2 linked regions of the Styela clava genome follow. The protein of the gene in region 1 purifies or fractionates together with the protein of each later gene. This does not show direct contact. Links are inferred from orthologs where the notes say so. Each region holds a gene or a part of one and is shown on either strand. Other genes may lie near its edges.

What was found.
Region 2: the proteins of DNA replication licensing factor MCM6-like (region 1) and serine/threonine-protein kinase PLK1-like purify together in Homo sapiens (affinity purification with mass spectrometry; 3 studies listed by BioGRID and IntAct, with this or other methods). This does not show direct contact. The link is inferred for Styela clava from reciprocal best matches to the Homo sapiens genes MCM6 and PLK1.

What each region holds. Positions count from the first base shown.
Region 1 is NC_135258.1:11,782,510-11,795,836, forward strand, and holds the start of DNA replication licensing factor MCM6-like, read right to left. Parts: upstream 5,079-13,327; 5' UTR 4,981-5,078; coding exon 4,886-4,980; intron 4,671-4,885; coding exon 4,527-4,670; intron 4,321-4,526; coding exon 4,207-4,320; intron 4,086-4,206; coding exon 3,923-4,085; intron 3,148-3,922; coding exon 3,008-3,147; intron 2,570-3,007; coding exon 2,416-2,569; intron 1,263-2,415; coding exon 1,158-1,262; intron 343-1,157; coding exon 192-342; intron 1-191. Other genes in the region: putative oligoribonuclease, read right to left, coding at 5,934-6,503, 6,912-6,995. UniProt on the Homo sapiens protein: Acts as a component of the MCM2-7 complex (MCM complex) which is the replicative helicase essential for 'once per cell cycle' DNA replication initiation and elongation in eukaryotic cells.
Region 2 is NC_135260.1:16,479,738-16,492,786, forward strand, and holds the start of serine/threonine-protein kinase PLK1-like, read right to left. Parts: upstream 5,086-13,049; 5' UTR 4,992-5,085; coding exon 4,821-4,991; intron 4,457-4,820; coding exon 4,307-4,456; intron 3,986-4,306; coding exon 3,860-3,985; intron 3,619-3,859; coding exon 3,431-3,618; intron 3,148-3,430; coding exon 3,019-3,147; intron 2,896-3,018; coding exon 2,726-2,895; intron 2,342-2,725; coding exon 2,186-2,341; intron 1,867-2,185; coding exon 1,789-1,866; intron 1,200-1,788; coding exon 994-1,199; intron 639-993; coding exon 507-638; intron 358-506; coding exon 151-357; 3' UTR 1-150. UniProt on the Homo sapiens protein: Serine/threonine-protein kinase that performs several important functions throughout M phase of the cell cycle, including the regulation of centrosome maturation and spindle assembly, the removal of cohesins from chromosome arms, the inactivation of anaphase-promoting complex/cyclosome (APC/C) inhibitors, and the regulation of mitotic exit and cytokinesis.

The sequences.
Region 1 (13,327 bases):
TGCAACAGGAATTTATAGATACCATATAGTTTGCTGGACCCTGAAGGTGCATTGAATGAGGTAAAAAAAACTTACATAAACACTGATTAGAATAAAATAAACCTAGTTAAGATATACTGATAAGATAACTGACTACACAACAAATTCGAAATTGAAGCTGCCTTTATAAACCTTATATATCTATTACTTACCATGAATAGTTGGAAACAAGCTTTGACATAGATTGTTGTAGAGATTTTTATCACAAGACATTTGATAAATTTTTTCCCATTCCGATTCTGTCATTTGATTTTTAATAGTTTCGATTGTTTGTTCATCATATCTTATTTCTTTTCCACCAAACTGTAATTGACAATGAGTGATAATCACATGCCTTTCTATATATTCATTAGAGCAGGGGTGGGCAATTACTATTCTGGGTGGGTCAGTTACAGATTAAGAATTGGTTACTGGGCCGGAGGCTCAAAACTTAATATGAAAAACTATGAATGAAGGACAGCTCATTTATAACCGATGAGTTAACGTTTATATAATAAAAAGGAGCACAATGTAACAATCGGGGTCATTAAGATCTTATTTTCATCGATATTTTAACAAAAATCACAACTATAGTCGTAATCCTGAGGCTCAGGCTCAGGCAGTCACTTTCGTCTAACGATATGCAAGGTGCTAGTGCTACTATTGTTTGAAATAATCAGAATCGACGCGGCCTCCATAATTTATTGGGTCAGGTGATGAGAATGGGATTTGAATTAAATGTGTGTAATCTGCGTTGCTAACACAGATAAGTCTACGCTTCAACTGCTAAGTCATTGCTGTCAGACACACATGCTGAATGCATACCACAATACTAATTCTGATTTAGCCATGAGTAAAAAATTTAGTTCAGACAAAATTTGAATTCCATGAAGTTTCGTGTTATAAAAAGGACTTCCCAATAACAATAACATATTCGAATACCAATGATTTATTAAAATTTAGCTTATGGAATAATAATTATTTTCTTTTTTAGAATCACGTCTCCATACCACACATTCATAAACATCATATGTAACATTTTGACAAAGATTAGAGAAAATTGAAATATACTCAAAATTATTTCAAACCGTGCCGACATTGTAAATACAAAACATGGAAAAAAATTGAAGATTACTTACTGTAGGATTGGTGGCAGTGACATGACAGGCAAGAAAAGCTTGACGATAATTCAAGTCGCGAACACCTAATGCTTTCAGACCTCTGATTCCTTCTGTTTCAAAACTCTGCAATAAAAATAAATATGCGAGGTTTGGTTTCATTTTTAATTATAAATGACCGAAACCAAATAAATCTACTATTTAAAATACAATCTATAATTGTATCTTCATAAAAGGAATATTGATTATACAGTGATACTTGATAGTCGATCGATACAATTCGGTAGTCGACCAAATAAAGGTTGATCAAAAAATGCTGCGGTGCTCGAATGAAAATTCAATGCTTGAACACCTAACTTGGCGTAAAGTGAGATGACGTCACCTGAACCGGTCATCCCGTTGCCACTTGACCATTCAACAAGAGATCGACGCTTAAATATAAGAACACGAAGACCAAAACAAATTAGTCCGGGTATGCAATCCGCCACAGTATCAGCCATGGTACACAATCTTCATGACTAACTATTTTGGGTATTTTGGAATGCGCAAGATTGAACTATAATTTCTTATGGTAATGGTAATGTTTCGGTACTCCAACAAATCAGTAGTCGGCATCGACACCAATCCTGAACAAAGTATGTTCGATTACCGAGGTATCACTGTAATGGGACCATGTTCAACAAGGAACACATAAAAGTGTACTGAACAAGTTTAAATTTAGCTAATCCGATTGAAAATACAATTGGGTTTCCACGATAAATTGAAAGAAAGAATATCAAGTCATACTGACTTGAGTGAGTCTTTAACACTTCAAAAATATAATTTTTTAAAAAACGATTCTTATTAATCCTAAAACCATGTATTTATAACATCAAATATGATTTTTTATCACATGTTCATATGCCATTCACTCTAACAAGTACCACTGATGTGCAAGGAGCTACTTTATACTGACAGGACCATCATCATTCCAGTTTGGCATCGCCTACCCAATCTACTACACCATGGGTGAGGTGGTATGCATGGAATTTGGGAGCTCCAGAACTATGTGTACTCATATGGAGGTAACTGCTATTGTTCGCCTACTTTACATCAAGTTGTGTAAAGGGACGGAAGCCTATGGGCAGGGGGTGTATTCACTTGGCTAACAAAGACAGTCCCTAAACTCATAATAGAACTAAATTAAGGAAAATCGGAATAAAATCATGGCTTCACCCTAACATGGTACAAATAATACGAGAGAACCCTTCAAAATACCAATGTTGTGTAATTGACTTACCCTGTCACCGCCGGTTCTTGTTGATGTTTCAGCTCTTGTCCCTGGTGTTGCAAGTTGTCCGACGTCTGGCACAACAATCAACGTTCCAATAAAATCGCATCTATCACCAGCTTGAGCCATTTCAACTGCTTCAGCACGAACAACTACTTCAACACTGGAGAGAATAAACATATAATCAAGATATCGTATATTGTGGATGTATACTTAACAAATAACTTGTCTCGTCAACTAAGTTCCTGTCAGTTGGAAAAACTATACTAAGCTCAGGGTTTAAAACCAATCTCTGGTAAAATTTTTTGAAAAATAGTCCTCACGAGATATTGACAGTTTCAGGGTGGTCAATACTTGCTGAGCAATTTGGAATCAACATTTAGGATAAATTTTAACCTATCGTCATTGAAAGTACTGGAAATCATCGAGGCATTGTGGGAAATTTGGCTAAAAAAGGCGAAATAAATTTAAAAAAAATTTTCCAACTCGCGTACTAAAAGTTGATTGAATGGTTGAAATTGATTGGTCCATAAAGTGACCTATTCCCAACAATACCTCCAAACAACAATTTAGTAAAATACCAACCATTAACATATTTTACCTTCTAGGAATGCATCCTCTTGGTAGTTCAGACTGTGTTTCTTGTATTCTCACTTTTTGAAAATCAACAAATCTGGATTTGTTTGTATCAAGCACAAACTTTGAACGATTACCACATTGTGGGTTTCTGCAGACTGTAGGCTGTAATGGATATATAAATAAAATGAAAAAGAAAATAGTGATACAAAAATGTCGTAAGGCATTCTGTTCATGCTTCTTCCATTTAATATTAAAACCTACACTCAATAGCAGTGGTACCTAACCGCCGGTCCGCAGACCGGTGCTGGTCTGCCAAGCTACGAGAAATTTAGTTGTTTTGTTATTTTTATGCCGTCTCAATCGCTTTACCGAAGATGAAGTTGAGTTGGTTTATTACGCAATTTCTCTTCTGCCGTCATATTGCGACGTCTTGATTTATTTGATAGATTTTCTTCATGTAAAATGTTTTAAGCGTACCTTTTTTGTCTAGATTCTAGAAGCATATTGAGTGCCTGACATTGCATTACATTACACAAACATATGTTATTCTTTTCCATCCCGGTCATTTCAATTTTTTGCCGGTCCGCGAGTACATTTAATTTAATTTTACCGGTCTGCCAGGGTAGAAAGTTTGGGAACCCCTGCTCTATAGAATGGAGTGGGCAAGATTTTTGAAACTGGTAACATAAATTTTCCCGAACTAGAATGGCAAGGCAAGTAAGTGTGACGTCAAAAGTTATATCTTATGAGCAGAGTGGCAAGAATGCGTACGATATGAACAAAATTAACAACAACTGCGGTATGTAGTGCATGCAGAATATGTTAAAAGCAGAAATTTATGCTAGAATCAAGTAGGCCAGATTGATTCACCTGACTGGCCAGATTTGGCCCACGAGCCATGGTTTGCAGATTTCAGATTTTTAGACAATAGACATACCTGCACATATTTGAATTGTTGTTCCACATCTTTTATAATAGTTTGGCAATCCAAGCATGTGAATGTTCCACTGACCAATTCAGGATGGACAGGATGAGTTCGGACAACTTGACCACTAATTCTCAACAATGTTCCAATTCTTCCATTCCGTAGCTCTCTTATTCTGTAATGATGGAAGACTTTATTTCATAAACATAATAGAAAACTCAATCACGAATTACAAGATAGAATAACCTGCAAAATATTGATCATTGGTTTCAAGAGAATACAACAAAAATGCTTACTTTTGTCTTGTTGGAACTTCTTCAAATGCAACATACAAATCTTTACTGGCTGGGATACCACGATAATGTTCTCTTGCAAAACTTCTTACACCTCGACAAAGGAAAGGGTACATTCTGAAAAGTAATATAATACAAGTAATGAGACCTAACACGATTTTATATTTTAATTGCAAAAAGGAAAGAGAACTTCCAAATATATGACAAAACAAGCAAGAGAGTGAAAGCATACAAGCTGAAACAAAATAGGGAATGATCAGTGTGGAATAACCATTGTATAATAAAATGTGAATGGAAAAAATCTCATAAATATCAAAGTTTACCTGTAATATTCCTCTTGAATAGTAGTTGCTAGTTGTTGATTGTAGATTTCGATATCTGTAAAGCTTACAGTAAGGGTGTTGCGTTCAGGTCTCATCAAAGCTTCAGCAGGTGCAAGATATTTCACTTCACCTTCAACTGAAAACCTGAAATAATTTTGAGTCATAAAAAATTAGTTTCTTTATATTTAGACAACTGCCAAAGCACCTGAAAATCAAAATCATAATTCAAACTACTGGTATGTAATGCCACTAATTTGCCGGATTGTCAAGAGCAAAAATGTACACTACAGCAAACGACCATTTGAGGCTTTATTAGTATCGGATTCCAAATGTAAAACAATATACATCTTTTGACTTACTCTTCCAAGAAATCCTGAAATAGTTTTTGAACTCTTTCTGCGATGCCATCTATAACTTTGTTTACCCGAGGTCCAGCCTGGTTTACAACATCCATTTTTGCACCTGAAGTACTCTTGACAACTAATATCAAATCTTGTACAAAGTCAAGTAAATATAGTTACTATTGTATATGATGATAATAATTTCTGAAACAATTAGAAAAAAAATTACAGAATTATTGGCAACTCTCAGTTGCATAGACAGTGTTTTACCTACGATTTTATTTTTAAGAAGATTATCAAATTCCATCACGACAAGGTTGATATGTGGGACTATTTATAAATCAGATGTGTGAAGAATTTGGATGTACAAGACTGGACTGCATAAACTATATTTCATGTGAAATTTCAATTTGAACATTACAAAATACAATACAAGTGAATATTTTCATACAGCATTAACTTCAAAATAAATCTATTTATTAAAATCATTTAAAACCAAATATGAACATAAATAACTGTAATCAAGCAGACTTTACGGCCTATCAACATAATCGAAAAATTTATGCCAATATCAGACAAACTTTTTTAAAATATGGTAAAAAAAAACATTCACCACACTGATGCTGAGATGGACTGAGATACTAAATATGTAATAAAATTATTATTCACTCCTACTGAGATTTTAGCCACACAAGTACAAATTCAAACTGCAAAATGTATTGAAGATTTTAGCCAGACTGCTATTTTTGTGATTGGTGAAAATAGATATAAACAATACATGAATGAAAAGTGGAAATACAATATTTCATTCGTTCATATTTAATATTAGTACTTAGTATTAGAATAGTTCTAATTACAACTTGCTGTAATTGGGTTTCAGAAACATTCTAGTACACAATACAACTTGATGCGTGGTCCTAATTATTATTACAGAATATGAATTGTAAGATTTTAAAAATTGTATAACAACAATGTACCAAAACTGATATAGGAGGTATCATATTCATGATAGGAATGCAAATACTACAAAAAAGATGTTGTAAAATAGTTTGGAGCACATTAAAAATCAAGTTTGGATGAACATATTGTCCTTATAATACTTGAGCTCTTTTATACTCTCCATAATATCACCCATAGCTCTATGGGATCCTTGTTTTGTGGGTGCTTTATTATAGATGCCTGGATACCAACGTTTACATAATTCTTTTACTGTACTAACATCAATAATTCTATAATGCAAATGATTTGAAAACATGGGCATATATTTATCTAAAAACTTTTTATCAGCATGTACAGAATTTCCAGCGAGAGGGCACACTTTGGGAGAAGTATATTTCTTCACAAATTGCAACACTTCGTCTTCAGCATCTTTTGTAGAAATTTTACTTTTGCGTACGGCTTCCGTCAGACCAGAAGCTCCATGGTGTTGTTGACACCATTCATCCATGCCAGATAACAATTCCTCACTTTCATGTATTATTAAATTAGGACCTTCTGCGATGATTTTCAAATGAGCATCTGTGACAATACAGGCTATTTCAATGATCTTATCTTTATCCACATCTAAACCAGTCATTTCTAAGTCAACCCATATCATTCTTCCAGACTTCCGATCAGCCATATTCAATGAATTCCTCTGAACAAAAATATATGAAGATATCAGTAGCGAACACAGAAAATTACACAAACATTTTAGGGGTTTGAGAGTTAATAGAAAGATGTCGGAGGTATCTGGATATTGATGGAAAAGTATTTGAATAATATCGTTATACCAGTATGGCCTACTGTCATAAACGCAAATCTTGATATAGCCAAGTGAGAGAGTACGATACCACAGTAAGATGATATGTTTAATATCTGGAACCATGTGAAAATAAATCAGTAAATGCTAGCATGTAATATTGTGAACAACGAAAAATCAAAACAAATTTGAGAGATAAAATAATAACGATATGAGGTATTTCTTTCTCTTTATTTATAACTTACCGTATATCTATATATACAAATGTATCACTATAAAATCAGAAAATCCTATAACACGCACCTTAATTTGATACCAAGTTCTGAAGTTAATGACCTTCAACTGATTTATAAGTGAAAACATAGACTGTAAAGTAAAATGTGACATTAGTAAAGCACAACTAAACTTATAGTATGAAAGGCATATTTTGGAATTCGCACCATGAACACATACAGTACAGATATGTCTGTATGTTAGCATTCAGATACTGACGCGGCGTCCTATTTATCATATGTATAAATCCTCATCTATGCATTCAACAGCAATGCTGATACTCTAAATTGTACTGTATAATATAATTAATAAACAAAAACTTGCCAATATTTTAATCGTCGCAAATAAAAACGAAAAAAAGCATTTTAAAAACATATAAATCCAAAAGACAGAGCAAAACGAAGACTAGCCTCCGAACGTGCTATTTGCTATGCAGTCAGCTGATCATTTTTCCCGCGGGTTAACAGTTACTCTCCTTTATAATTTTGAGCGCTGTGACGCCATGATTGATGTAACGAATTATTGCAACGGGTTAATAATGATAGACGGTTTCTAAAGGAATCGTTTGTACAGATGGGCTTCAGTTTATAACACTATCGCATGCAAAGGAATAGTTAACTTGGCTAGAATATAGTCCAGTAGAGTCAAACAATGAGGAAATATACTCTAAAATGCCCTTCATTGGCCCAGAATACGTACGGACCCACGCAAAACAATGTTTCATTGTTTCACCGTTGTTACACATTATGTTAATCTCGCCTTAATTTTTTTGAGGAATAAAACATTCGTTCTCGGTAAATTTTGACGACGGACTTGTTAGGGTTACAAACAGCGAGTACGTACAGGGAATATAGGGGGCTTCCCTCGTATTTTCTGGTAGCGGATGTTACGAAGCTCCATGCTATATCAAGCGCTCAAGTCAACCGGTATGTTAGTCGTTGAGTCAACCAAACTTGTCATATTTCCGTATGAAGGCATTTGGGCTGGATTCCAGACTTGTCTTTCTGATCCGTTAAAAACAAATTCTATGGACTAAATCACTAAAATATTAATGTCGAATTGCGCAAATTTCTAATGACTGTTAGTTTGATAATTGTTTCACCTTAGGAAGTACAAATATACTTTCTTTCATAAAACATCGAGTACTCGGTGTATATTGAATTTATTGGCATTTGAAATCGGGGTAAATTTAATTTTTTTTTTTTCTTAAATCAGGGTAAATTTGAAGACGTGTAGAATTCAGGGGTACGACGTGTACATTCGCCTATAATTACGCGGAAATAAACATATCATAGAATTAAATCCTATGGATCGTTACGGTGAATTAAATCGTGATATTATGTTAGTGACGTCATGGGCAAAACCATAATAGAACAAACGTCGAATATAATTGTTAGTATCGGTAGCGTATTTCAGGACAGTGATTTCACTGCACCCCTCTAAACTTTCAACCCCCCTAATTTTGAGGTAATTGTATATAACTTAAAAAGAATTGTGGCGTAAAAAAAACGCAAGTTAATAGGTAAGTTTACAAGATGTACTAGAACTGGACTTTCTATGACATAATTTTATTTCAACAACCGGAACGCAAATGCAATAAAATGTCTAACAACCGGAACGCCGTTCCGGTGCGTTCCGGCTACAGCTCATCACTGGGCATAGGCTTTTATTATTGCTTTAGTTTAGTTAACATAGTGTATGTGTACATTGTACATATATGTGTAATTCGGGTTGGCTCGAAATACGAAATCAGATATTCAAAACATGGCTCTAATTCAAGTGATTGTATGTCGGTATGGACCGAAGTTTTGATTTGTTAAGGCTCATAATTGTGTTGTTAGAAAGACTAATGCTGGAAAATCAACTTTTTATATCAGGAGCAATGAATTCCAAAACTTGCAGCATACATTCGTGGAAAATTTCAACAAACCCTTCAACAAACGGGTGATTCGTTTTAGCGATGTTGTGGGCTATATATACCAGTATCTAGAACCGTGGTAGCGTACCGCTACTTCTCGACGCCCAATATTCCTAATGGCTAAATGCCTAAATACCAATACCGGGAAAACAGGAGTACGGTAGCCGTACTCCACTCAACCACTCTAAGCGGAACAGTGTTAATTAAGCTTCTTACTAACACACCAACTGCACTTAGTTCTCTTCTATGTTCTCACTTTAATGTTATGAACTTATCGGTAGGCTATCTATACTTGTATGGTGGACGCTACGGCAATAAAAGTTCCGATAATTCGAAACTTCAGTATATCCTGTCCAGGGCCGGATCATGCCTTTGCAGTTTTGGTGTCCCTAAGCGCTTACGAATTTGATGCCCTATGTATAAGTTTATGAGAAGTAATAATAAAAATATACAGTATAATAATGAAACCAGTGTTCCATGTTATCTGATATTAAATATGCAGTTTCAGGATTCAATACTGATTGAAGGCCAAATTATGATTCATAAATGGTTCTCATGCCTACAGGTTTAATATGATGATTGAAAAAAAGCCAAATTTATTTTAACAAGGACAATATTAAGGTTTGAGTCGTCAGACCAACTTTAGTTATTTCATTAAACACTAAAGTGCAATTAAAATTTCGACTATGAAATATCTGTGATGCTTCCTTTTTTCTGGGTGCCCTTAGCATGTGCTTATTTTGCTCAATGGTTGATTCAGCCCTGTGTGGAAGGTATAACAGTGTAAAAACTTGACAGCATCTATTTTTCTCAAGTAAAGCCACGCTACGAATTTAAAAACTCGCTCTTAGCAAACAAGTGCAAACTTCTTCACATCAAAGTAACTCATAGAAAAATAAATGTTATGTAAAAACGATATTTTTATAATAATAATTTTATTTTTCGGCCTTACAAGAACAACATACCGTTTAGTATTTGTACATTTCTTCGGGTCGCGAGATATTACAGAATTTATTTTTTTTAAAAACTTGGGTCGCTTGAAAAAAAGGTTAGGAACCACTGATCTAGATTCTAGACTACTATGGCGGCGGGTAGTTCCAATTTGCAACTTCATTTTTATCTTATGCATGCTTTGATGACGGACCTGCGAACATCTTTCTGCATATTCCATGTGGTTCATGGGCTCTCGAAAGAGTAACACTATCATATCATATATATATTAAGTTCGCTATTACTGATCAGTGTTGAAGTTACCCTGGCCTCGAAACGGTTCAGGCGGGTATCTTTTCCGATGGCTGTGCCTATCCCACGACCCGCCTATACAGCATTTCTCGTTAAAATCGTGGTTTACATATGTCTTTTTCATTTGAAGGATTGCATCACAAGCATAATAATCAAATGGGTCTATTGCACTGAAAAGCGTTATAACTACATCCACTTGTTTTGAGTCAGTACGGATAATTTTAAATTTCTTATTCATCTTCTCAATAAGCTATTTCTGACATGTCGGGCACGAAAGCACGTGCTTCGAACCGACGCAACATTTTTCGAAGTAATTTACCCTGGCAGAGTTGCCAAGAGGGACGTTGATATAAATCAGCTAATTAAATACGATCTCCATCGCTAGCGAAAAGAAAGCGAAGAGATATCGTAATACATCAAGCCAGGTTGAAGTGTGATAAATAAAAGAGCCTGTGAGTAAGAGAACGTAACGGACAACCACTTTGCGTCGAAGCTGAGCAAATCCCATCACTGGTTATGACAGATTTGAATCATCTGATTTTAACGAAAATGTGTCGGCGCATTCTTATTTAGGCTACTGGGTAAGTTGAACTCAAATCGTACTATAGTTTCATTATAAACTTTGAGACCTTTTGATTTCTGCAATATTTCAACTATCATATTCAATATTTGGTGGCATAATTTCGATTTTTCCCTGTCTTCAATCCATACTCATAAAATATCGAAATTTAGTGTTGTTCAAATACTTTCGAAATTGAAATACCCCTTTTCAACTTGCAGGAAAACACAAATGCTACATGCCTTATTTGAAGGTTTTTGGCTTTTTGCAACTGGGCAAACACAAAATCTCTAAATTCTATGATTTCTACCACCTCCCAAATTTAGAACCACCCCGTAAAAATGTACTACATGTGATGAAGAAAGAAATGCTGATCCACGTTACCAGAGAAGATAGAAAAATAATTTCAGAAATACCCAAAACTATCCAATATAGTATATCAGTTGAAGCTGAAGGTGTTTTTTCGTATTTTGTGGCTACTTTGCCAATAAAATTAAAAAGCCGACTCGATGATAACAACCTTGAATTTGTTACGCTTCAACATTACAAGATAAAAATGCCTGAAATTTTGAATTCAGTCCTAACCTTACTGGTAAATATTTGTTTAAAGGAATAAGTATGCCATGTCAAAACTTTATATTTTCAAAGTCAAAGCACTGTTGTTAATAATAATTATAGTTCAAGAATGTTTCAAGTTAAGAAAGGTTTGAGGCAAGGTTGTAGTCTCTCACCATATATGTTCTTATTAATAATTGAAATAATTGCATGTAGAATGCGACAAAACCAGAATATACAAGGTATATGTCTCGGAAATACAGAAATTAAAATTTCCTTGTTTGCAGATGACGCAACAGTATATTGTGATGGGTCACAAAAAAGTATTAAAACAGTATTTTCTGAAACCGATAATTTCTTTACCATGTCTGGGTGCAAGATAAATACGAATAAATGCCAAGCATTATACCTGGGTGCAAATAATAATTGGCAAAATTTTCCTATGCAAGACCGAGGACTTCAGTGGAACCCTAGCTGTTTTAAAATTTTGGGCATTAATGTGTGTGGAAATGATACGGATCTTTTTACTGTGAACCTTTTGCCAAAACTTCAAAAACTGAAAATGGTTGCACAAATATGGTCCAAAAGAAATCTAGATTTCCTCGGAAAAATCACTGTGATTAAATCTTTGATGTTGAGCTTATTGGTTTATGTAGTTTCCATCTTACCAGTAATACTGCCCAATAGTTTTATAATGGAAGTAAATAAGATATGCCATGAATTTTTATGGGGTTCAAAATGGGAGAGAATAAAACGTAAGACATTAATTGCACCTGTGAAGGAAGGGGGGGTCAATATGCTTGATGTGGAATCATTTCTCATTGGTCAAAAATTAAGATGGGTTAAATGTTTAATAAATGACGAAATTGATGTCTCATGGAAATCCATAGAAATGTTTTTCTTGAATTTGTATGGAGGAAAGGCTTTATTTTATGGAAATGTATATCCGCATGGAGTGTATATCAAAAATATGTATTCCAGATGTTTGAGAGATACTCTGTACTATTGGTTTATTTTCAAATCCAAGATTATTAGGGATGTAAGTCATTTACATGAACCTTTGTGGTTTAATAAAAATATAACTTGCAAAGGAAAACTTTTATATATGGATGATTGGAATAGTAAAAATATTTGTTTCGTTGAAGATATTTGTGATTCTAATCAGCAACTTGCAATGTTTCCGTATGTTTTTCATCATTATTGTTTTTCTAGTTTTTATGATGACATGCTAGCGTATTTAAAAATTATATCATGTATACCCCAGCAATGGAAAACTAATTTATCAAAAACCTCACCAGTCAATCCACATCTTAGTCTTATCGAAGATATTAAAAGCATTGATAAAACGTCTCGATATATTTATGATAAGCTTTGTAATGAAAAAATTTTGCCGCCAACTGAAAAAATAGAAAAATGGTCAAAAGAATTGTGCAGGAACTTAGATAATTGGTTTACATTGTATGAAAAAGTTTTTTATTGCTCTGTTGAATCCAGACTTCGTTCATTCCATGTCAAATTTGCCTTGCGAGCAGTGCCCACTAATGACCTGCTATATAGAATAAATAAAACACAAAGTCCAAAATGTACATTTTGTAATATGCATGTTGAAACCGTGTTACATTTATTTTATCTCTGTGAATTTGTGCAGCAATTTTGGGAAATAGTTAACGCTTGGCTAACCGTTGAGTATGGATTAAACTTCAATTTGACACATAGAGAAATGTTATTGGGGGTAGGGCAAAATCAGGGTATAAACTGTGTTTTATTATGTGCCAGATATTTTATATACAAATGTAAACTGCGTAATGAAAGGCCTCAATTTTGCCAATTTTTATAAGATAAAAAATATTATAAACTGTGAAAAGATTATTGCAACTAAAAATGGTAAACTGTCAATCCATAATAAGAAGTGGAAAACTATTGTGTGCTCGTTTTTTTAAAATGCAATTGTATTTGTGCTATTGTGTCTATATAAATGTGTTGTGATAATGTGATGTTTTTATTAACAAAAAAAAAAAAAAAAAAAAAAAAAAAAAAAAAAAAAAAAAAGTATGCCATCTTGTCCAACTTTCGTCGAAGAGTCGATCGACACGCATGGTCCTCACCAGTGAGATTAGGATCTGCAATATTCACCTGGTCATCCTGACACAGTGCGTTACTGGTACATGGTCT
Region 2 (13,049 bases), on another chromosome or scaffold:
ATCAAACTTTTTAGTTTTAGCCTGCGTTGTTGATGCTTTCAAACATTTATAAGTACTACAAGAGTAATACTTGGAGGCTTTACAAGTCCCTTCATCAAAAAAGCATGGAAAATTAGTAGCTGTTTACAATATAAGTTCAGCAGTCTCAGTTTACGATTGGTCCTTGATTCTGGCGGTGGATGCTCGACTGGTCTTCAACTTCTCAAGCATTGTTCTTGCGTATCTCAACCGATGTGCAAGCTCTTTGCAGCATCCATATTTCTCTAGTGATGACAGTCGATATGTTCGGAACTTTCGGTTATCGTCAATGTAAGTAACAGCTCCCATTAATGGGCAGAGAATAATCTTGGTGTGATCCTGATAAATCAAACGAATATGGTATTATGTGATGTCACATGTCACAAATATGGTGTAATTCTATAGAATGTGGATAAAAAAATTTGTAACCTTAGAAATAAATATTATACAACTTTCTCAGTTTATTAAATTGATACTTAAATACTTACAGCAAAGAAATTAATCTGTAATGTTCCGTTACTCAGATGCAAGACAATGGCACTACGAGTCCTGAACCATGTACGTAAGAACGGAAGTCGAGCAAGTTGATCTCCTTCTTTGGGTGCCATGGATGCTCCAGCCTAGAAAAATGAATACAAAATGAATTCATTTTTAAACAAACCAATTGGACGAGAAATATTGCAAGAGTATGCATTTAGGTAGAATTGGGAATTCAAACAGATATTCAAATTCAGGATAATTGTATGTTGGGTTATGTTATATGGCAATCATATACACAAAATAGACTTAACGATTCCATATTTTTGGATCATTCGAACAACTAAAAAAATCTAAAAAAAATTGGAAAATATGTTTCAATATTATCTAAACAGTAACATACCTATCCCGACACATTTATCTGTCATCTTACCATGAACAACTAGAAAAATAAAAGAAAAAATGGAAAAGATTAATTCCAACTCCCACAAATCTTACCTTCAACAGGTGCTCACTCATGTAATTTCTGAAATACTTGAGAAGAGTAACTTTCTTAACGAGCATATCAGGGTATGTTCGTATAGTATAATATGATTCCGACATGTCTTTGTCAATGTATTCAATATGTTCACCATTTGCATAAAGCAAAATTCTAGTGCTGTCATTGAAAAGCACTCCATTGCTGTTGTCGCAAAGTTGATATCCTGTAAAACATACAATATTAAATTGAGCGTTACAGATTGAATATCATTTGTGAAGTTCCCAACTTAAGAGATAGGCAAAATATAATAACGATGGTTTTTCATTATACTGGTGTAAATTTAATGAATATTTAACACAAATATACTACTCTGAAAAAATGGGAATACATAGGGCCCAAAAATTATCTGAATGAAACACATCATTAATGAAAACCCCTTTAATTTATGTAAAATTTTAAATAGAAGTTTATTGGCGTTTGTGGGTGGAATGACTATAGAAGGCACTGTTGATAACTTTAAGAATTTGGCTTCAACCTCCAAGCCTACAACCAGGAAAAATTCAGGTACTCTCGAGAATAGTGCTCCACTGATAACAGTGGTTGCTTGTCTTGGGGCCTTGTTCTGAATTAGGGTGAGAAAAAGTTTTTTGAAAAATCTTTTCAAAATTTAAATAGTAAAAGTTCAGTTATAGAATATATTACACATGAATTATCATGATAGATAAATGAATTGAATAACTTCAGATCTTGAAATCCTAAACCTAGATTACAAACGTATATCTACATTATATTCCGATAAATATTAGACTTACCCAGTCCATACTTGTCTGTGTAATCCACCCATTTACTGATCCACAAGACTGGATTAGCTGCTGGATCTTCCGCTTCATCTGTAAAGTATGTATGAAAGAAATGTAACTCTTGAAACTCTAGGATAATTGACAATACTATATATGTCAAAATCCAGAAAAATAAAAAATTAAAGATAAATGAATGAAATATTAATAATTAAGTGAATTTAAACAGGGCATAGGAGTATTCACTTACACACTCGTATTCTCTCTCACAAGATGTTGCAACATTCAGCATGGTGACAATTTACACATGCCGGATGAGCCAGTAAGCCTGGATTAGTCAACATTGCTAAGCAATAAGTAATCTCACTGAAACCTACCAAAAATACATTTGAATATAATTTTAAGTACTTACCCATATTAACCGGGTTTCGATGAGAAGGATTGCTGTCAATAAGTTTAGTGAGTTGCTCAAATAATTCACCCATATGAAAATCAGGAGATTCATTATTGCATATCTCATTTGGTTCTGATTTTTTCCCAGCCATTTGAGCAGGAGTGTTATCAGAACCTGACAGAAGATTAAAATTAAAACATTAGCAATGTTATTGATAGCATTACAACTTGTGTTGTTTAACTATACAGGTAATCAAAGATTGCTTTTGACAAAACACTTCAAAGATTATTCATTGTTTTATCTATTTTCGAATGTGAGCAGATGGCATCCACAAAATTTTAATGTTTGTATTAGTTGAATAACATTTTTATCATTGTACCCCTGAACTATATCTATTTATTGCATGCCTGTAATTGAAGATGCAAGTTTCAGAATTAAAGCGGTAGGCTATTTAAACTGAGGATGAATCCAAACACCATCTCGTAAATCAAAGCGTTTCATCAAAAAGCAGTTCAACAAAGTAATTTTCAAAAACTTGTGACTTCTCATAAGTCATACCATTTATATCCTGCAAAGGTTTCCTTTGAGATTGCGTCTGCATTTCAGGGAATCGAGGTGCCATGGTCAAACAAGTCGTAGGTAGTTTATGAGGAATATAACCATTAAAGAAGTCACTTTCCAGAGCTTCCTTCGCTGAGGGTCGAGATGAGGGTTCATTGCATAGCATTCTAAAAATGAACAACAAATTTTATTGAGTATCGTTCAAAAAGTAAACTAGGAGTAACTCCAATGGTCGAATCCAATTTGTTCAATTTAAAAGCTACTAAAACTACATAAGATACTAAAACTACCTTTTTATTAAAGTCTTGGCAGCTGGAGAAACATGATGAGGAATTCTGTATTCATTTTTCTTTATTCTGCTGTAAGTTTCTTTCAATGTTGAGGTTTCAAATGGAGGTTTACCAACCAGCAGTGTGTATCTGAAAAAGGATAATCTTTCCGATATATGGTACGAAAAAATTACAATTCACAAGACAAACACAACACAAAGAGGAAAATCAGAAAAGTTGCCTTAACTTCAAATGAGGTTTAAAACAAGCGACATGAAATGCCATATGGGCAAAGTAGAATGCGAGTAAAAAATGCATCAGAACATTCTCTAATCAGGCTTTGATCATGTGATAATACGGGAATTTTAGTGAACAACCCAATGAGATACTCTCTGAAATTAAAATTATTGATCATGAAAATGTGTGAACTTACAATACACAACCAAGAGACCATGTGTCAACTTCGAAGCTGTGTCCCTTCTTTCCTAACACTTCAGGTGCAATGTAATTGGGTGTACCACACAATGTTTTCTTTCTTTCCCCTTCAAAATCAACTTTGGTTGCCAAGCCAAAATCACCAATTTTCACTTCCATCTCATTGTTTAGAAAAAGATTTCCCAACTGGAAAAATTGAATGTACATTAAATTATAAAAGATAAATGAAGAGATAGTATGTATACTGAAATTTTTGATCCAGATTATATGACAATTTTCGGCAATCAATATATTTTCTTCTGTACACTATTCCGCTATCATAATCTACCACCTTTTTTAATAAAAAAAAAAAACATATCCGTAAATTAGTCAAGTCTTGAGAGCTAATTTCATTATACATAATAGGTAATAATAATAAAATGGTTACTTTTATATCTCGGTGTATAATTTTTTTGTCATGTAGATATACAACTCCAAGCAGAATTTGTTTCATATAGTATTTTGTCTCTGGTTCGGTAAGAGCTTTTCGTCGCTTGTACAATTCCATAAGAGACTGTAGAAAGAAATAATAGAATTTTGAGAGATAAAAAAATGTTATGTTATCTGCACTGCGGAACCACATAATGACAGCCGCTGTTGTTGTTCAAGTCAAAGTTTAAATGTGTTATTTTAATAAATTGTTTTCGATTCATCCAAAATTGTTGACAGCTAGAAACATTGCTGTTTCATGTAGTGAACATAGCGTATCGGTACAATGACGCGAGTAAATTTTGACTAATCTGAACAGGTACAATATTTCAAATGACAAAGGTTTTAATTTAGATAGATGAGGAAATGAGAGTAAAATAAGATTTGAACAAAACTCAAATTATACCCTTCTTTTGCACAATTCCAAGACAATATAAACAAAATCTTTATCTTCAAAAAATCCATGGAAACCAACAACATGATCATGATTGAGGCTACGATGAAGACTAATTTCTTGAGTCATTTTTTCTTTCTGATGAGGCTTCACAAGAAGTGCCTAAAGTATGGAAAATAGCAAAATTGAGTATTTGAACAAATAATATTGGAAAGTGACAAAATGAAATAGTATTAGAGAAACCTAGTTTACAATTTCATTCTGGACTAAAAGATAACTGAACGGTAAATTATGGATTCATGATATCTGCCAAATTTTGAAATGAAATTTCATGAAAATGCATTTAGTTTTCATGAACCTAAATTATTACATGACAGTTCATAAACAATTTCTTTAAAACTTGTTTTACTAAACTCTGTGTAAACCATAATGCACTTGCCAAAATTGAATATTATTCTCAACGAAATATGAGAAAATACGATACATAATTTAATATATTGAGATGTGAAGAGTAGCTTATTTTAACCTTAGGAACAATTTTTCCAGCTAACGTTTCTTTTGTTTCATGATCTGTTATTTCAAAACATTTAGCGAATCCTCCTTTTCCCAGAAATCTTCCGCGAGTATAACGTTTTCCAGAGTTGTCATCACACAGAATCTCAGGGATCTCCTTCATCGGAATATCCTTCTTAGACATGTTGGTGCTGGTAACTTCTTCAAATGATTGAACGCGGAGAAAATTCAGATGTCAATAAAATATTTAGTTAATTCTGACAAGAGAAAAACACTAATTACTGAAATATTACTAACAAGACGGTAAAAAGTATTACTGCGTACAAGGGCCCAATGATCATCCCTAAAGCTTATTGTTTCATACTTTACTTTTGATGGATATTTTATTTTTGATTTAACAGGTGTCAACCTTCTGTTATTTTGAAGGAATAAGTGCTTAGTTAAAAATGAAATTTACCGCGGTTGGCCACATCAGGAAATAATTTTGGATTGATGCCTATGGACAGATAGCTGGATAGATGAAAAATAACGATGGAAGAAGTTGTCATTCACAAAACGCATTTAATGACTATTCTATCCAAATATTTTTAATCCTGGCATACTGAATATCAATTGAAAGAAGTTATCTGACCACTTCCAAATAGATCATTCAGTCATTAATCAGTTTTACAAACACCATGAAAGTTGATATTTCATTCTGAAAGCTACATAAGATGATCACATTTCTGATTTCTGGATTTAGTCAATCACATGACTTTGGGCAAAATTTTGCTATTTCTTCAGTCAGTCTGTCTTTAATGACTAACCAGTATTGCGGCAGGTCGGTCCAAACACTGAAACATTAAACACAGTCTCGATAGGTCCGTGGATGTTCAACTCCACCTTATTCTGCTATTGCAAAATTTCTAAATAATCCACACATGATATTTTAAGGACATAGATAAATGAATAATAGCATCCTAGTTACGATCTGCTTGGAGATGAGTCGCGACACTGTTGCGTTTCAAATCTTTCCAAACTGGCGCTTATACAAGCCAGTACCGAAAACTAACAAACAATCTCGGAGGCGACTTCAACAATTTGAAATTCAACAATTTAGAAGTGTTCCCGTTTCAAAAATAAAATGTAAAAATCTCCGGTAACAAAGCCCTTATATTGAATTACACAAAAAATAACCGCTGTTCTTGTAATTACAGGTGCAAAAGCAATTCTCTAATACACACATACGATAAATTTAACTAATTTTGATAAGATTTGATTCAAAATACACAACAGTGAGCCCTGGATATCGAGTCTTTTTCATCTTTTTCATATTACCTTTTGCCAAGTAAATACACGCCGAACACAGGCATTTAAATCTCATTTGAAACTCGCTGTTCCAGCGACGGCGGTTTCTGATTGGTGTACAAAGAATGACGTTTCTCTTTCTCATTCTCTCATATTAACATTTGGCGATTCTCTCGTCTCGTCGTGGGTTGTCAGAATCCAAATTGACTAGTCACTTTGTTAGAGTCAAAGCGCATTCAAGAGGTTCCATTACATTTGAACCCACGTACATTTGAACCCACGACGATTGCATCTGCATACTATTGCACCTACAGAAAATTTTTTTGATTTACGGATATTTGAACCCATACTAACCTAACCCATGGGTTTTAGCACCTGCATATAGATTGAACCCGCGGATATACACATGGGTTCAAACGTACGGTCACCCATTCAACATTCTCGAGGGTGGCTCGCCGTCTCACATCTGAAGAATTCACACAAAAGTATTTTATTCTAAAAATATTTATTATTTGGAAAAAAAGTTTGATTTCACACTCATGTTATATATATATATATATATATATATATACTGTATAGGGACGACGTCGTGTATCAGGTATAAGTATAAGTTTATTTCGACTCCATAATCAGCAATAGACGATAAAAAAATAGATAAAAGTAAAAGTAACTGATTATAGAATCGGGAAAGCGAACAAAACCTAGAGTAAGGTTTGAAACGTACAGATTTTAGATGGAAAGGTATTGATAAAAGAAGTAGTACGTGTTCGCTCACCCAAAAGTAAAAAAAAAAAAACTAATTAAGGCACGCATGCACACACACACACAATCATCGAGACATGATACAGTCGGAAGCGAAAACAGCGAGACTTAAAAGTAAAAAAGAAGGAAAATATACAAACAAATAAAAAAAAAATGAATAAATTCTTTTGCCACACCAAATCAATAATTTTATGAGGATTGCCAAATTGGATACCGAATTAGTCAACAAGAGTAATGTATTGTGGATATAAAAGTATTCCTCAAAAGATATCGTCAAGCTGATTATAATTGGAGTCACTTAATGCCAAATTGCCCAATCAGAATTGCCAAGTTGGATGTATGAAGAGGTGGGCTAGACCTGCTTCACTCATCAAATAGAAGCCACAACAAGCCAAATAACGTCCAAATTATTTTAAATACTATTAATCAATAACAGTACCGGTAATCATAATTAAAATTAATTAGGGCGGTATGATACAGAGGTAAGAAAATTGGTTAAGGGAATATATATGGTGTTTAAGGTTCAAGTAAGGTTTCTAGGGTCATGGATTATAGGCAAGTAACTTTAATTGAGGTTGTTGATCACTGCGGTCAGTTCAAATTCATCACGGATGATTCATCAGTCTGCAAGTTTTGTTGTTGTATACACCTTTCATGTTGACATAGATAGCATTTAAATTGATCATCATGACGTCCTGAAAAACGAAAAATATATCTGCGAGTACAATGTTCAATGATTGCAAATAAGGAATCAATAGAAAACTACCCTACACCTTTGAGTGGAAGTTGTTGAATTGTGTAAATATTGATTAATATTAATTAAATATCATTAGACTGCTAGTTGAAAGACCTGAGAAAGAAGAGATTGTGGTTGGGACACAAGAGAAATTGTTCACAAACCATGCAAAAACCTTTCGATGTCGGTCAAACCACACATATGTATGCCATTATCTTAGTCATGAACATCACACTAACCCTTACACATTTGCATGCTATACACAGCATAAATTCGACCAAGGATAAAAACTTTGTACACACGCAGGACATAGCATATAGTACTACAGCAAGTTAAAATGTAGGGGAGAATCCAAATATACCTCGACTGGTCACCTAATTACAATATTAGGTACAGGAGTTAAATTATACCGTCTACAACCCTCACAAAGAATCCCATCACCCAAACAGAAAACAAAGTTCACGCATGTGGAATATCAGAAACCCAACATTGAAAAAAAAAGGAAACATGCGCATGCAGATATCAGAATGTGAACAGCCATAATAAGGAGAATCTTATGCTATAAAACAAAATAAATGGCCAACTACAATGCAAAACAGATGGAGAGAGCTCAACTGCTTGTTCAAAATTAATTAGTAATCTCAGAAATAATAACAATAGGGGGGGAATCCAAATATACCTCGACTGGTCACCTAATTACAATATTAGGTACAGGAGTTTAATTCTACTGTCTACAACCCTCACAAAGAATCACACCACCCAAATAGAGAACAAAGTTCACGCATGTGGAATATCAGAAACCCAACATTGAAAGAAAAGGAAACATGCGCATGTAGATATCAGAATGTGACAAGTCATATTAAGGAAAATCTTATGCTATAGAACAAAATAAATGGCCAACTAGAATGCAAAACAGATGAAGAGAGCTCAACTGCTTGTTCAAAAATAAATTAGCAATCTCAGAAACAATAACAATGGGTGTTCAACATTCTTATGAAAACAATAAGTATGTGCAAGTGCTGAGTGTCCCAACTTATGTCATGGTCTTTCTTTTGAAGTTGTAGCTAATTACATACGAAAAATATATAACAGTGTGATTCTAATTATAAATTTTAATATTTTGATACCAAGTAGGACTTGACTTTTTCTGAAAAGATTTTTTTGATTTTAATGTCTTCAAATTCAAGGGGAGAGAATTCCACAGCTTGGGCCCAGTATAACATAAGGCATGTTGGCTCACAGATGTACTCATAAAAGGTATGAACTACTACTACAGGTTGGAACTACTTCTTCGATTGGAAATAATTTTAGTTAGTATGTCGTCGAAGCAGTTTGGCAAGGAATTGTTATGGAAATCATGGACTAATGATAATACTTCAAATTTCATTATATCTTCAACTTTGAGTATATTTAGCTTTTTATAGAAATGGTTTACACTTTCACGTTTACCTTTCCTAAAAAGAATTCTTAAAAAATTATTACAAATACTTTGCAATTTTGAGACAAGTGTTTTATTACCATGGAGCCAGACTGAGCAACAATATCGGATATGGCTGAGTAGTAATGATTGAAACATTGCTAGTAAAGCTGATTGATTAACACACTGGGATACTTTGGCAGCCACTGCCAAGTTTCTTTTTGTTTTACTAATAACATGCAATATGTGTGATTTCCAAGACAGATTTCCATCGAAGATAACTCCTAGAAATTTTCTTTCTTTCACGCTTTCAATTTCATTGCCATTGAGCAGCAGTGGTTTTGTACAACTCAGACTTTTATGCTTGTTTGGATGGAATAATACAAATTTAGTCTTGTTAGCATTAAGAGATAATTTATTAACTAACATCCAGCTATGAATGTTGGCTAGTTCGTGGGCTAGTTCAGGTCTTGAAATGGAACCGATGGCTTTGTAACAGTCGTCGGAGTCTCAGTACTTTGAACTTGAAACGTATATATACTATAGCGAGAGTCGTATGCCGAAATTATTTTAACTCAGGAAAATTAACGAAACACCGAGTTATTTATTGAAACGTCGGACGATTTGATGAAATGTTGTACCTAGATTGTGAGGGAGCCTGCTGCTTTAGAAAATAGTTGAAGTGCTTCTGACTCGGAAAATAGTTCCTGACCTCCTGAATTTACTCAGGTTTGATATTTGACGCTTTTGTTTAAAACAAAGGTCTATGGGCATCTATCGAAAGCTGATGCTTAACTAATGTATTTTAAGGAACGGTTTCATGTAGATTCACACTTTTCAGCTATGGACTTATGTATATATATATACATCTATTTGCTGCATTTCGGTCACATGTTATTTTTTGCTGCAGTTGGGCTACTCGTTTTCTGTGGCATATGGTGAGCCACTCACAGCGTTATTTTTAGCGGTTTTCAATAAAAAATGGTATGACAAAATTTCACGCAAGTAATACAGTTCGTTTTAAATATAGTGGAGATGGTGCCCAATCGTCGTCGCCCAATTCCGAGGGACTACGTTATTTAGCCTATTTGCGGGAATGAGGAACATCATTGGATATGGTCGACACCGCGAGCTGGCTATTTAATCATAGTCCATCATCAAAACCGTTCACGCTTCCCCTAAATGCTTTGCTTGTAAGCCACTGCCCACCTGTTGAATATATTTGTAAAAATATAGTCTGCAAAACGCTCTGCCCGGAAACAGAGCTCAATTACCTGTAAACATTGAAATCACTCGAGTGTGACTAGATTGACGGGTACTCGCATCCGAGACCCCAAAACCCGATTTTGCAAAAAATAAACCTCTTCCTTTGGCCTGATCACTTTTGTGGGTTTTGTAGACATCGTGACAGACCTTCTTGCCAAGTTTGGCACAGATTAGTTCCCTGTAAAATGTTCGTTTGTTCCCGAAACCCCGAATATACTTTCGTATCAAGTTTCGTCGTGCGTAACGACATCTGACTCCGACTGCGCTTTCGAACTGAAGTGCTCTCGGTTGCCTAATCACAAATGCGTTTCTCGTGTAACAGACGATATTAGACTATGCACATGAAAATATGAGACTACTCATTTAATTATTTTTATACTCGTAATAGATGACACACATGGAAAAATAATAAATTGACAGTATACATACTGAAAAGTATTGTTCAGGAATTGTTCAGAACTAAAATCTCATCGTCTACAAAATTATATTTTGCGAAGTAATTGCAATTTCAAAAATAGAATAGACTATTTTATTGAGGTCAAAATGTAACCTGGAAAGAGATCTAATAGCGATATTTTGAAAGTTGTTCATAGTGGAGTTTTTAATACCACATGACAAAATTTCCATAATTTCATAAATTGGATTATTTGTTAAATGACTTATTGCTGAAAGTTACGAAGTCGTGAGTTAAACTTCAAACACATATGGATGAGCGAATTTTCAGACAAACTTAATTTTTTTTTGCATTAGTCGATGTGGGAATTTTATAATTATATCTTAAGGGAGTGGTTTTGATTACCTATATGACCTCGGACCCCAAAATGGAAAATTTGTTCTAGTGCATTTGGATTAAAATTTTTAGTATATTCGGATATATTTCAACATAAAAAAGCTAAAAATGTTATCATCAATAAAATTCGGAAAAATTGGATTTTAAATTTATTTTTTTATCGTTTTTTTCGGCCATCACTTTTGATATATTTGATGAAAACCAATGATGTCAATACCACTTGGTATTTCAGAGACGCATTAAATTCGCAAATAAATGGGGTTAGAAAACTAATTATCGCATATCGAAGTTACTATAGGGTTTCACCGATTATCTCAATTTTGTGCGTTCGATGTCGTTTTTTGTTGTATTCAAATGTATTTGTCTATAATAAGTGCATCACACGTGCTTTACATCACTTTTAGGCAAAAGAACTAGAAAATATCGATTCATGATGTTGAGGGTCTTGAAATCTCCATAATTATTAAGTTGTTTTGCGATAATTTATTGTATTAACAATTGAAAGTATTTATATGAGCAAGTTAAAACTACACGTTGTTTTTGGTACCTCCCACCGTTAAATCGAACCATCACCTGAATAATTTCCCGTTCTTTGAAATAAAATATATTCTTTCAAATATAGTTACCATTTCCAGAAAAATTTTACCATTACCAGAAACTTTTCCTAATAAATGCAATATTTCGTGTTCTGATGACCGTAAGTTGCATAATTATATATTTAAAACGGGAGAACAGAGGAAATGGGGTGGAAAACGAAATAACTCGGCATCGTCAGGAGCAATTCAGACTTTCCGTACATAGACGTGTCCTAATTCCTACGTTGCCACAAGTCTCAGCAACAAATTGTACCCCATTTGTTTAATTAGGAATGCTGTCGCTAAAAGAATAACATGAGCTTTTAAATATGCCAGAGTTCCAGTTCGTTAAAAAAATTTCAAGAGCTGAGTAGATCTTTTTAATCTGAATTTCAATTTCAGGCAATATATATATCTGAGTGGGATGCGTCCAAATTAGTCCACAGTGTATAGGCTATTAACTGATTTGCTTATTTAATAGTCGGAAAATAGTTACGCCAGTTAATGTAATTAATATTATGTGTTTACAACAATGCGGAAAAATCCTAGTAAAAGTACACAGTAATCAAGAATGAATATCACGATGACCGCTATATATCACGCACCACACTTTTTCTAGTACTTCGTTGTCAGCGATTCAAAGTCCAGAAACGTTATGAAGGTATTTCGAACAATTTTTACAAAATGAATAAAAATAACCTATATTCATTTGCCAAAATGGGCATGGTTTCAGAATCCAGTTTCATTTTTAAGATAAGGGAAAATCAATATATATTCAAAAAATGGTGCGCGTGTTTCGTGCCGAAATTTTAAAGAATTTAAACACCAATTGAAAGATGCATTATCAGAAACTTAGAAAAGAGGGGAGATATTACATATTAGAAAATAACCTGAGTATCTTTAAGAGAGAATGTAAGAGTAAATTTATTTCTCATTTACTTTTAGTTTCACACCAATCGCTTATTCACTTCCTCATAAAGCATAAGGTACATGTATAGGTACATAAATTTTGAGTTTGAGAATTAGATACAGATGTTAAAAAAAGACATTCCTTCTCGATCATCAACATATTTTACCAGGCTCGCATCGATTTCGATTGTAGTTTTGTTGGCATACTCAGAATCAACACTCACTTAGAGGCCAGCTTACAATGCTATATCACTTATATTCCTGAATGGTAATAGATAAACTTTTATAGTGCACAAGAGAGGTTTGGCTGATAAATAACTTTCCAATCATACCAACGGTTTGTGGATATTCGGCCAATATGTCTTTTTTCCGATATTTGTTGAACAACTTCTTTTTTCAGATCAACCATATGATTTTTCTTGCGATATTTACTAGTTTTATCCTCACCGAATTCTTCATTCTCCAAATATCATCTTTCCTTCCACATGTTTTTGAATGAC